Ovis aries: one gene and its partner. The protein of the gene in region 2 purifies or fractionates together with the protein of the main gene of each other region. This does not show direct contact. Links are inferred from orthologs where the notes say so. Each region holds a gene or a part of one and is shown on either strand. Other genes may lie near its edges.

Region 1 (6,127 bases), on a different chromosome or scaffold from region 2:
GAATTGTCACCCCTCCAACATTTGTAAAACTTCTTATCTTTATGTCCCATGTTTAGATGGCATAATAGAATATAAAAAAACATCCTAGAAGTGAGACAAAAATAATTAGGTTCTGTCTCCAGCTCTCTCTGACCCTGGGCAATTGATATCACTCCTCTGGGCCTTCGTTCATTCAACTTTAAACAAACAACTATTAAACAAAGTGGGAATTACCAGACTCAAAGCCTATTCCTTAGATGATCTGCTTCCAAATCATCTAGGAGTGGGATGGGGCTAGCTATAAAAATATACTTTCCTGCCTCCCCCACAGTCCTGCTGAATCAATGTTTTTTGGGGATGAGGCTCAGGAAATTGTTTTTTAAAATGAGCTCCCCAGGTGATTCTTCCACTCATTAAAGTGACTCTTCTAAACTTTTTACTGCAGTATAACACACTTGTTAAGAGTTATATAAACAACACACTTGTTATATAACACACTTGTTAATCTTAGGATATCTCTAAAATTCTTTCCAACTTTAAAGAATTTGAAGAATCAGTCCATTCAACACATTTGCACATGGGCACATTTACTAATCAGCATGCAACTTTGGACTCTGTTACCCCCATGACAGTAACTGTTTTGGATCAGAGTGCAATTCTGCATGTGGTGTAATGGTCTCTCAGTGATTTGGAAAAACAGAATGGTTTTCAAATGTGTGGCCTCTCTCAAAGGTCAGTTTACTGTCAGAGTGCTGTAGGTCCCCTGGAAAGTCATTCAAATTTGATCTGAATGTTGGAATTTCATTACACTATCTATGTATGCTGACCACATAATACTCAGTGACAGAAGACTGTTGCCTGGGCATAAAGGGAGATATCTGGTTGTATTTCTGATTTGATTACAGAACCAAACTCCAGTGTAGTCATTTAAATCGAAGCTTCTTTGTCAACAAAACTCCCAGGCCTGGACTCCCTCACTAGGGGACCTGGGATAATATGCAGGTAAAATTACTTAAATGACTCCTGAAGTGGTACCCAGATCACTGTGTTAATAACTTTCCTCTGAATCAACTGGTAAATAGGTTTAAGAGAGTCTTCCAGTTACTAAATAGTGAAGTTGTCTCTCTTCCCAGGCAACTAGAAATTGTTGGGAATTTTCTTCAAAAGGCTATCCCTTTCAAATAATATGTGTGTGTGTGTGTGTGTGTGTGCACACACACACACGTGCTCAGGCACTCAGTTGTGTTCAACTCCTTGTGACCCCATAGACTGTAGCCCACCAGGCTCCTCTGTCCATGGGGTTCTCTAGACAAGAATACTGGAGTGGGTAGCCATGCTCTTCTCCAGGGTATCTTCCCGACTCAGGAGTTGAACCTGAATCTCTTGCCTCTCCAGCATTGGCAGGCGGATTCTTTACCACTATGTCACGTGGAAAGACCTCAGATTATGCCTTTAAAATTACCTCTTTGCTTTTCAGCTTTTATACAAAGCCTTCATTTCTTTTTGGATTATTTATTTTATGTCTGATGGAACAGGTGTGTAGTTTCCTGGCTTCCCAAAATGAATAGACATGTTGACTTACTGTAACTAGGCAAACTCCTTAGCATACTTCAGAGTCCTCAACTATGAAATGAAGGCGGAGAAAAGATGGATGCTTAGTCTGTTCCAGCTCTAACACTTTTCATTTGTGAAGAGAAAGGTAGCATGGTATAAGGAGAGTGATGAGCTCTGAAACTAGACAGACCTAGCCTGGAATTTTAAGCCTCAGTTTCTTCAGCTGTGTGACAGGGGGTAACGATACATTAATTCTCAGGGTAATAAAAGCATCTAGTATAGAGCTTGGCACAGAAAGAAAGACATTCCAGAAAGGTGAGACTTCCTGGCTCCCTATTTCTCCACATCTTTTAGCCCACACCTGTTTAGGCCTCCTCTTACTGAGAGAGTGAAAAGCAATCCTGGTCCTTATTCAAGTGTAGGGACAAGCTTCCTGGGATAGGAAACCCAGTCAGTCCTTTGGGTAACAGATTCTTGGATTCTTCCTGACCTGGTCACCACTGGAGCATGAAGTTACCATTTTAAGTCTTGTTGAAAAGTTGCAGAAGGCAACTACAGAACCAAAGGTCACTGTCGCTATAAACGTAATGAGTGCTCACTAGGGCTTGCAGCAGGGGATCAAAGTCTTCTTGGGGATCAGGTGGATTCTCTCTTTCTGCAGTGAGAATCCAGGGAGGCTAACAGAATTTGAGAGCTGGAAGCAGCCTTGAAGACCATTACAGAGGAGGAAACCAAGATATGGAGAGGGAAAGTGACTTTCCCAGGATTATACAGTCAATCAAGGAGCAGAGGGAGCAGTCTCTCTGGATCCTCTGGACTTCACACTCTAGACCCTCTGCATTTTAATGCAGATATTGTCAGCACCAGCTAGGAACTTGAATTCTGGAGGTAGACAGATCTAGTTAATCTCCTCCTCCCAATTCTGTGATCTGGGACATAAAGCTTCACCTCTCTGGCCTGACTGGTCTCATCTACAAAGTCAACCCTATCTGTTGTAAGTATTACCAGCAACACTATATGTACGGTGATTCACATAGTATCTGGCTTGATCAGCTTCTACAACGGAAGGTTCTAATGACCATTAATTAGCGTTTGGAGGAAGAGTTGCCATCCCCTCTCTCTACATCTCTAGTTGCGATCTGAACCCTCGTTCCCCGCAACCCCTATGCCAGGCTGCCAAGAAGAGAAGGAGCTCAGTGCCAGGGTGAGGTGGTCCCCAGGCTCACCTGGTGAGACCAGTAGAACCTTCGCCCCAGAGCACTGAAAGCAGTGCAACAGGGACTTTCCGCGGATGTTGTAGTTGAGGCACGCCATGGCGCAGCCCAGCTTGATCAGTCCCAGCCACAGGCATATGTAAGCTGGTTCATTGCCCATGAAAATTGCCACGCAGTCTCCCTGCCGCAGGCCGAGGTGGTCGCGCAGCGCCCGAGCCACTTGGTTGCTGCGTCGGTCCACCTGCGCGTAGGTGAGCGTCTCGTCGCGGAAGAGCACGAAAGGCTTGTGTGGAGTCTGCTGCACTTTCTCCAGAAAGGCGTAGAGAATGGTGCGCACCGGCCGGCGCTTTCCATTGCTGCGCGCCCGCTGGGCCACGCCGGCTACCCGCAGGAAGTAGCGCAAGTCCTGGAAGAAGTAAGGGCAGCAGAGGTTCACCAGCAGCGGGAGCATCAACAACCCCGCCAGAACCGCGTAGGCGACTGGCAGCATGACGGCGGCGGAGCCCCCTACCCCCTCCAGGGCGGTGGGCGCACTTCGGGCGTGCAGGGCGGCGGCGGCGGCGGAATGGACTTCCTCCGGGCTGCGGGCGGTGCGGGTTTGCACAGCGAGGAGGGGGCGACAGTGGAGCTTTTGGGCCGCCCGCGCACCGCTGCGGGATCTCTGGCAGAAGGAGCCGGGGTGCTGGCTGTTGGGTGTGACAGGCCGGCTGAGCCTGCCCCGTCGTGAGGGTGCAGCTGCGCGTATGCCCCGCCCCGGCGGTCCTCCGCTGGCTGGGAGGGCGGCTCCGCGGCTCCCTGAGGCCTCGGCCACCTCCCCGCGCGAGCGTGGCGGCCTGGGGGCAAAGCTGGGCTCCCCGACGGTGTGACCTTACAAAAATGGTGACAGTAAGACGCCTTAGAAGACGCTGAGAAGATTAGAGGGGATAATACAGGCGGAGCGCTAGTGCACCTTTTAGAGATGACTGATGGTTATTACCAATAACGTGTCTTATAAATACGAGAACAATCCTATGATTTCCTAGTAGCGGGTAGCAGGTGCCACTGCCAAATCAGAATCCCATCTCTCCTACCTGGTCTCCGGGGCTTTCCGCCTGGTCTCTTTCTGTTTCTCACATTTGCTTTCTGCCACGCGCCCCCCCCCCCCCCCCCGCCCCCTGCAACCTCAGCCCCACCCCCACCCCCGGCGGACCCCGCCAAACCCCGAGCTAATTGCCAGGCAGGCTCTAGTGATGAAGAATTCAGGGGTGAACAATAGCGCCTTCAAGATTGCCGCCTCCAGCTCATCCCAGCCTGGGGGGCAGTGCGTGAGGCCCGGGCGTTCTAATCCGAGACGTCCTGCAGGCCCCAGCTAGCTCAGATTAGGCTGGAAGTGGTGCCACACTTTGCCACATGAAATCAAGCTTCGGGGAAGTTTTGATTTGTTATGATACGTTGTTCTTTAAGTGCCCCCCCCCCCCCCACCGTATATTGAAAATTCTCAAGTATTGTCAGTCCGATTCAGTTCGGTTTACTAAGTGGTTCCGTGAGAAACAGGCACAACGCAGAGAAAAGGAAGCAAACGTCGGCATTTTTCAGAAGCCATCTCTTTGAGTGTCATCCTTTCTTTTCACTTCCTCAAGTGCTGCTTCTGTACTGAGTGAACCCTGGCTCCTTGCTATAGAGGAGGGTCAGAATTTAAGTAAAGCAGCATTTTCCTCTCTTCCTTGCTTGTCTTCCTGCTGTTCATTCATTATATTCTATGCGACAACCAGGAGAAATGAATGCTCACTCCTCTCTGCTAGGGGCTTCCTTATATGATATTTTTGGAGCCTCATGGTCAACTAAAGGTGGAATTTTCAAGCTCATTTATAGACAGGAAAGGGACACTTAGAGAGGTGAAGTAAGACAGCTGGTAAGTGATGCTTCAGATTTGGGAATTGGTATATCTGTTTGGTCCTGGGCCCATTGCTTTATTAAGAGCAATGTGTTATGCTGTTCTCTTATTCTCTGGGTTTCTTCTTTCTTTAGCAGTTTTCTCCCCCCACCTCCTATCACAAACTCCCCTTCCCTCATTTCTTTTTAATCCTCCTTTTTAAATCCCTGAACCTGCTGCAACAACCCTTTCTCTTTTCCATGGCTAAACCAGCTACTGTCTAATGACTGGTTGCATCATTTCCCTTGGGAGTAAGAGAGGGAAGGATCCTGTGGACTTGGTTATCCCTGAGGGGAAGGTTGTAGTGTTAAAGTAGAAGCCAGGACAGAAACCATTCAGGTGTGCACCTCTTCTTTTCATGTTAAAGCTAGATCCAGCCCTCCTTTTCCAGCCCAGTGCCACCTGGTCCCTTCATGACCAGTCACTTCAGCATAGCCTCCTTGACCGACCTCTCTTGTCTTGTCCTTAAACAGTCACTCCTTCTTCAGAGTGCTTGATTGCCCCAAATGCCCACTTTCTCCTCTCTTACTCTGAGGATCACTTTAGCCTTGTGCATCCATAGTTTTTCAGTGGCAAATGAAAGAGAACAAGACCCAAACTGGCTTCAGCAGACATGGGAATTTAAAACTCAGGGTCCAGGGCAGGGCTTCAGGTAAGCCTTCCTCTGTGGCTTAAAAGTACTGAGATCTGGACCAAGTTTCCCTTTCTCCATTTCTCTGCTCCATCAACTCCTTTCTCAGACAAGCTCTTCCCTCATGGTGCAAAGATGGCTGCCAACCCCTTAGAGTGACCTGTTTCCTGAGCCGACTTCAAACAGAAATGTAAGAAACTTTTCCTTAAAAGTCCTCATTAGAAAGACAGAAAGAAAAGAAGGAAAGAGAAAGAAGAAAGAAAGCTCTTCCTGGGATATGTGTCTGTCTTTGTGGGATGGGGGAAGAGAAGTGCTGATTGATTTAAGCCAGTCAGGGCTCATTCATGGAGCTGAGGGTAAAGTCAATTCCATGTACACCATACTATGGAAAAATCAGAGTCTTGTTAAAAAGGAAGTGGGGAGAAGAAATAAATTTGGAGAGATATTTAATGTTTGTTATATATATCTTGGAACTCTCTTTACCAATGATTCTAGCTTCCAGCTTGGGCTGTGCTGAGTGCTCTCCCACCAGCCTGATGGTCTTCGTGGAAATGCTATCATGAATTGCCTCTCTAATGCTCAGTTATCTTCAGTGGCTGCCTCATTGCCTCCCACCCACTTTCACTCATGGTGTCTATAGACAACTGTCATGTTTGTATAGCATACCAGAACACATCTAGGCTAGAGGTGGCTAGACTCCCTGGGTCCTGCCTGGCTCCCATGTGGAGGGAGAAGATTGGTAGCTTAGCACATTGGTTACACATTCTAGAAACATCTGCGGTGGCAGCTCTGGTTTATAAAATGAAGTTCACACTTTATTTTCTGGCTCTTCTGATT
Region 2 (6,090 bases):
ACCCCAGAGAATCAGCAAGCAGCTCTGTTCTCCAGAGGCGCTTCAAGAACCACCACAAGGGACAAAGAGAAGACCAAGAGCATGACCTTCCCTCCACCCATGATCTCAAACAGCGGCTCTATTTCACCTTTTTATATTTGAGGTTTTCACACTAACATTTCATTTGAAAAATGAGTTTTATTTCTTTAAAAAAATGTTTTCACACCATAGCTTCTTAACAATTGGAGGACAAACAGAGAAGACTTGAACAATACTCTCAACCGACCTGATCAAACTGACATTTACAGGACACCACCCAGCAACAGGAGTATACACATTCTTTTTAAGAGAACACAGAACACTTACCAAGACAGATCAAATACTGGGCCATAAAACAAGTCTCAATACATTTAACAGAAGTCAGAGTGTTCACTAACCACAGTAATAGAAAGATAGCTGAAAAATCCCCAAATATCTGAAACTTAAACAATGTACTGCTAACTCATTAACCAAAAAAAATTAAGGAAAATTAGAAAATATCAATTGAACTAAATGCAATGAAACATATCAACATATCAGAAGCTGTACAACAGTTCTAAAGCAATATTTAGAGGAATATTTATAGTGTTAAATGCCTATATTAAAAAAGAATGATTTCAAATCAACAACCTCAGCTTCTACCTTAAGAAATTATACAAAGAAGAGCACATTAAACCAGAGTAAGCAGAAGAAATGAAATAATAAAAGATCAGAGTGGAAATCAATGAAGCAGAAAATAGTAAAGCAACAAAGAAAAATCTGTGAAGATTAAGGACCCATCACTACATATATTAGAAGGATAATAACAGACTACTGCTGCTGCTGCTGCTGCTGCTAAGTCGCTTCAGTCGTGTCCGACTCTGTGCAACCCCACAGACGGCAGCCCACCAGGCTCCACTGTCCCTGGGATTCTCCAGGCAAGAACACTGGAGTGAGTTGCCATTTCCTTCTCCGATGCATGACAGTGAAAAGTGAAAGTGAAGTCGCTCAGTCGTGTCCGACTTTTAGCGACCCCATGGACTGCAGCCTACCAGGCTCCTCCATCCATGGGACTTTCCAGGCAAGAGTACTGGAGTGGGGTGCCATTGCCTTCTCCTACTATGCCAATAAATTCAATAACTTGGATGAAGTGGATTAACTTCCTGAAGAACACAAACTATCAAAGTAACCAGAGCAGCCCTGTATCTATTAAAGAAACTGAATTTACAGTCTTCCCCACAACATACTGCCAAGTCGCTTCAGTCGTGTCCAACTCTGTGCGACCCTAGAGACGGTAGCCCACCAGCCTCCCCCATCCCTGGGATTCTCCAGGCAAGAACACTGGAGTGGGTTGCCATTTCCTTCTCCAATGCATAAAAGTGAAAAGTGAAAGTGAAGTCGCTCAGTCGTGTCGGACTCTTTGAGACCCCATTGACTGCAGCCTACCAGGCTCCTCCATCCATGGGATTTTCCAGGCAAGAGTACTGGAGTGGGGTGCCACTGCCTTCTCCGAACATACTGCTGCTGTTGCTGCTAAGTCACTTCAGCCGTGTCCGACTCTGTACGACCCCAGAGACGGCAGCCTACCAGGCTCCCTCGTCCCTGGAATTCTCCAGGCAAGAACACTGGAGTGGGTTGCCATTTCCTTCTCCAATGCATAAGTGAAAAGTGAAAGTGAAGTCGCTCAGTCGTGTAGGACTCTTAGCGACCCCATGGACTGCAGCCTACCAGGGTCCTCCATCCATGGGATTTTCCAGGCAAGAGTACTGGAGTGCCTTCTCCGAACATACTAACAACCACTAAATGGTGAGTTTTATGGTAATGATTTGTATCTCAATAAAACTCATTTTTTTAAAAAGTAACATATATATATATATACACAAAACTAAAAACAAACAAAATCTTCCCACAAAGAAAACCCCAATATCAGATGGCTTCACTGGTGAATTTCACCAAATATTTAAGGAAGCATTGATAGTAACTGTACACAAACTCTTCCCGAAATGCGAAGAGGGAAAACTTACCATCTCATTCTGTGAAGACAGCGTTACCTTGGTACCAAACCAGACAATGAAAAGAAATGAATCTCTCTCATGAATATACATGAAATTTCTAAACTACATTTTAGTAACTTGAAAATCAATCAATGTAGTTCATATTCACAAATCAAAAAGAAAAACCACATGACCAACTCAACAGATTTAGTGAAAACATGATAAAATCCAGAGACTTAAGGACTGAAGCATTCACCATCTCCTTACTCAACAGTCTTTTCAGCTTCATTTCCAGTCCCATACCTCATCCATGGACATATCCCATACTCTGCAAATTTCATTCTCCATTTCTTCATCAAGCTCCATCTGCTGCTCCTCGTCATCCGAGCTGGATTTGGCATTTTCAGGGCTAACCATCTTCAGAAACACAAAGTAAGGAGATGAATAAAGGCTGTCCACAGCACTCCTCCAGTAATATTATCCCATAATCGTTTAGAAGTCACAAAGGTTAGTATCCTCAAAGTACCTTCTTCTCCAAGAAGCTTATTTTAAAAAACTAGTACCTGGGGCACCTTGGGGAAATACTGCTGCTAGGCACTGGGGTAGAAATATAAAGGTAAATAAGATTTACTTACTTACTTCCAAGTAGTTAAGGATCCAGTGGGGAAAAGACATATAAACTGATAATCACAACAGAAAAGGTAAGTGATTCCACTGGATTGTGGACAGAGTCGTGAAAAAAAGATGGATCCATGACCTATGTCTGGGAGCTTTCCCAAACTTCTCTTAGGAGGGGATATTGAAGCTAAATCTGAGGGGAAATCAGTTTGTCATCCTGAAGAAGAGGAGACAGAGAAAAGTACAAAGAGTTCAGAGTTAAGAAAAGGCCTAGCATGTGTGGGGAATGGTGAGCAGTTTAGCATGCCATGGGCAGATAAATCTGGAAAAGCTGCAAAGAGCCCTGGATTTCCGTCTAAGAAATAGGAGTTTTCCACTGTAGGCAACAGTAACTATGAGAACTCCCATGGACGACTTTTTTTTTTTAGATGATTCGGGTAGCTGTGCAGAAGATGGACTACGGAGGACAGTGATTGAAAGCAGAGGGAAAAGTTAGGGAAACATGAGAAGAACGTTCACATTTATTGAGAGGTTCCTATAAGGCAAACTACGGTAAGCATTCTCTGGCTATCATAATCTTATTTAACTCTATAAACAATAATACAAATACTACCCCACTTTATAGAAACTAGGAAAGAAGTCGGTTACGTGACTTGCCCAAAGTCACGGAGGGCAAACCGCGCTTTTGACATTAGAGCTGCAGGAAGCCCATTTATTCTACCTCAGTGAAAGTCCTCGAAACAGATAAATTACGACCTGGGCTTCAGAAACTACAGCGGCAAAGGGGCGCAAAAACCCACCGCATCACATGCACTGCATGTAAGCAATGCATTTACACGGTCACGTATATTTGGAAATTTTGTAAAAATAAAACATTCTAACCAAAAGCATTCCAGCATCCCTACCGTTACACTTCCGTTTGTACTGAGGGGCACAAAGAGTGGCGCCCGGCAGTTTTGGGGTCCGCGGGTAGACAGCCTGGAGGCCAGGGGTAAGGCCCGGCCGCCGGGCCTGGGGAGGGGTCGTCGAAGGGACGGCGGCTCCCGGGGCAGGAGGGGGGCTGCCCGAGGCGGGGCGGCAGCCTGGGGAGAGTAGGGGGAGCCCACTCGAGGCGCGTTTCCGCACCTGGATGAGCCCGCTGAGGACGCCGAAGAGCCAGTGCTTGCTGTAGACCGTGCTGCCTATGCAGTCCCCCCCGGCCGCAGCCTCCTCGTCCTCGTCCCGACTCGGCGGCGGTGGCGACGGGTTGCGGTCCATGTCTCGGCCGCCTCTGGCGCGCGGGAGCCCCTCCGGAAGCCGCGGGAGGAGGCGAGAGACCGCCAGGCGCCAGAGGGCCTAGCGCAGCTCCCGCCACAGCGCCCTCTGCTGCCCGGAGCCCTGCCGGCCTGAATACCCGCCGAATGCATTTGCTGACTGGGATGGGGAGCCCAAATGTCTTGGTCTTACCCCAGCTCTCTATCCAGGACCCCCGCGCGGTTATATTCATAATTGTTATTTGTCACCCTCCCTGGACCACATATTCCATCTCTCCAGGAGCTCTTAGCCTGATTGGAATGGCCAGGGTGCGGGGACAGGGAACAGGAAGATGTATCCGCTACAGACGTGAAACTATTCGGACCTCTGCCCTTTGGGCACAGTTGCCATTCTTAAAAACATCGCTCTTCTCCCAGGTGTGTTCGGAATCCTGGGAAAGACGAAAGTCACCAGTAAGAATGTCAGTATTACAACTCAGTTCAGTTCAGTCGGTCAGTCGTGTCCGACTCTTTGCGACCCCATGGACTGCAGCACACCAGGCCTCCTTGTCCATGACCAACTCCCGGAGTTTACCCAGACTCAAGTCCATTGAATCGGTGATGCCATTGAGTCGGTGATGTATTTTCAGTTCCTGCTACTATTTAGTCTGATGGTACTAAACCTCAGACCCCATGCTCCTCCACACCCCACAGCAAATATTTTAGAACACCCCTTTAAGGAAATGAAATTTACAGATGATATAACCTACCTCAAAAGGTAATGTCAATAATACCAATATGATTCCTTAGAGAAGGAAATGGCAACCCACTCCAGTATTCTCACCTGGAGAATTCCACGGACGGAGAAGCCTGGCAGGCTGCAGTCCATGGGGTCACAGAGAGTCAGACACGACTGAGTGACTAACACACACACACACGCAATATGCTTCCCTTACAGAAATGAAAAATAAAATTAATTTAAAATAAAATCAGTTCAGTTCCGTCACTCAGTCGTGTCTGACTCTTTGTGACCCCATGAATCGCAGCACGCCAGGCCTCCCTGTCCATAACCAACTCCCGGAGTTCACTCAGACTCACGTCCATCGAGTCATTGATGCCATCCAGCCATCTCATCCTCTGTCGTCCCCTTCTCCTTCTGCCCCCAATCCCTCCCAGCATCAGAGTCTTTTCCAATGAGTCAACTCTTCACATGAGGTGGCCAAAGTACTGGAGTTTCAGCTTTAGCATCATTCCTTCCAAGGAACACCCAGGGGTGATCTCCTTCAGAATGGACTGGTTGGATCTCCTTGCAGTCCAAGAGACTCTCAAGAGTCTTCTCCAACACCACAGTTCAAAAGCATCAATTCTTCGGCACTTAGCCTTCTTCACAGTCCAACTCTCACATCCATACATGACCAAAGGAAAAACCATAGCCTTGACTAGATGGACCTTAGTCGGCAAAGTAATGTCTCTGCTTTTCAATATGCTATCTAGGTTGGTCATAGCTTTCCTTCCAAGGAGTAAGCATCTTTTAATTTCATGGCTGCAGTCACCATCTGCAGTGATTTTGGAGCCCCAAAAAATTAAGTCTGACACTGTTTCCACTGTTTCCCCATCTATTTCCCATGAAGTGATGGGACAAGATGCCATGATCTTAGTTTTCTGAATGTTGAGCTTTAAGCCAGCTTTTTCACTCTCCTCTTTCACTTTCATCAAGAGGCTTTTTAGTTCCTCTTCACTTTCTGCCATAAGGGTGGTGTCATCTACACATCTGAGGTTATTGATATTTCTCCCAGCAATCTTGATTCCAGCTTGTGTTTCTTCCAGTCCAGCGTTTCTCATGATGTACTCTGCATATAAGTTAAATAATAGTATGTATTTTAATGTTTTAACTGCTCAGGCACAAGAGTACTAGAAGATATCAATATACTCAGTTCAGTTCATTTCAGTTCAGTCTCTCAGTCGTGTCCGACTCTTTGCAACCCCATGAATCGTAACACGGCAGGAAAGATCTCCAATTTTGGCACATACATATCAGATTACTGTGAGCCTCATATTTACAAATGGAGAATGACTTAGGTGTGGTTCCTGAGGGACCCTGCTTCTCAAAATCATGAATAGATGATGGTAAAATTTCTAACAAAATAAAGTTCCAATTTACATAGCAATTGCAGTAATGGAAAATTTTTAAATATATTAAAAGTGAGCAAAAATACTCTGCATTATTATATAAAATACATGTGGGTCTT

The links. The genes of interacting proteins can lie anywhere in the genome.
Region 1: the proteins of SAAL1 (region 2) and SLC27A2 purify together in Homo sapiens (co-immunoprecipitation; 3 studies listed by BioGRID and IntAct, with this or other methods). This does not show direct contact. The link is inferred for Ovis aries from reciprocal best matches to the Homo sapiens genes SAAL1 and SLC27A2.

Annotation. Positions count from the first base shown.
Region 1 is NC_056060.1:58,219,784-58,225,910, forward strand, and holds the start of SLC27A2 (long-chain fatty acid transport protein 2), read right to left. Parts: upstream 3,421-6,127; 5' UTR 3,238-3,420; coding exon 2,760-3,237; intron 1-2,759. UniProt on the Homo sapiens protein: Mediates the import of long-chain fatty acids (LCFA) into the cell by facilitating their transport across cell membranes, playing an important role in hepatic fatty acid uptake.
Region 2 is NC_056068.1:34,149,775-34,155,864, reverse strand, and holds the start of SAAL1 (protein SAAL1), read right to left. Parts: upstream 3,908-6,090; 5' UTR 3,867-3,907; coding exon 3,735-3,866; intron 2,409-3,734; coding exon 2,295-2,408; intron 1-2,294. UniProt on the Homo sapiens protein: Plays a role in promoting the proliferation of synovial fibroblasts in response to pro-inflammatory stimuli.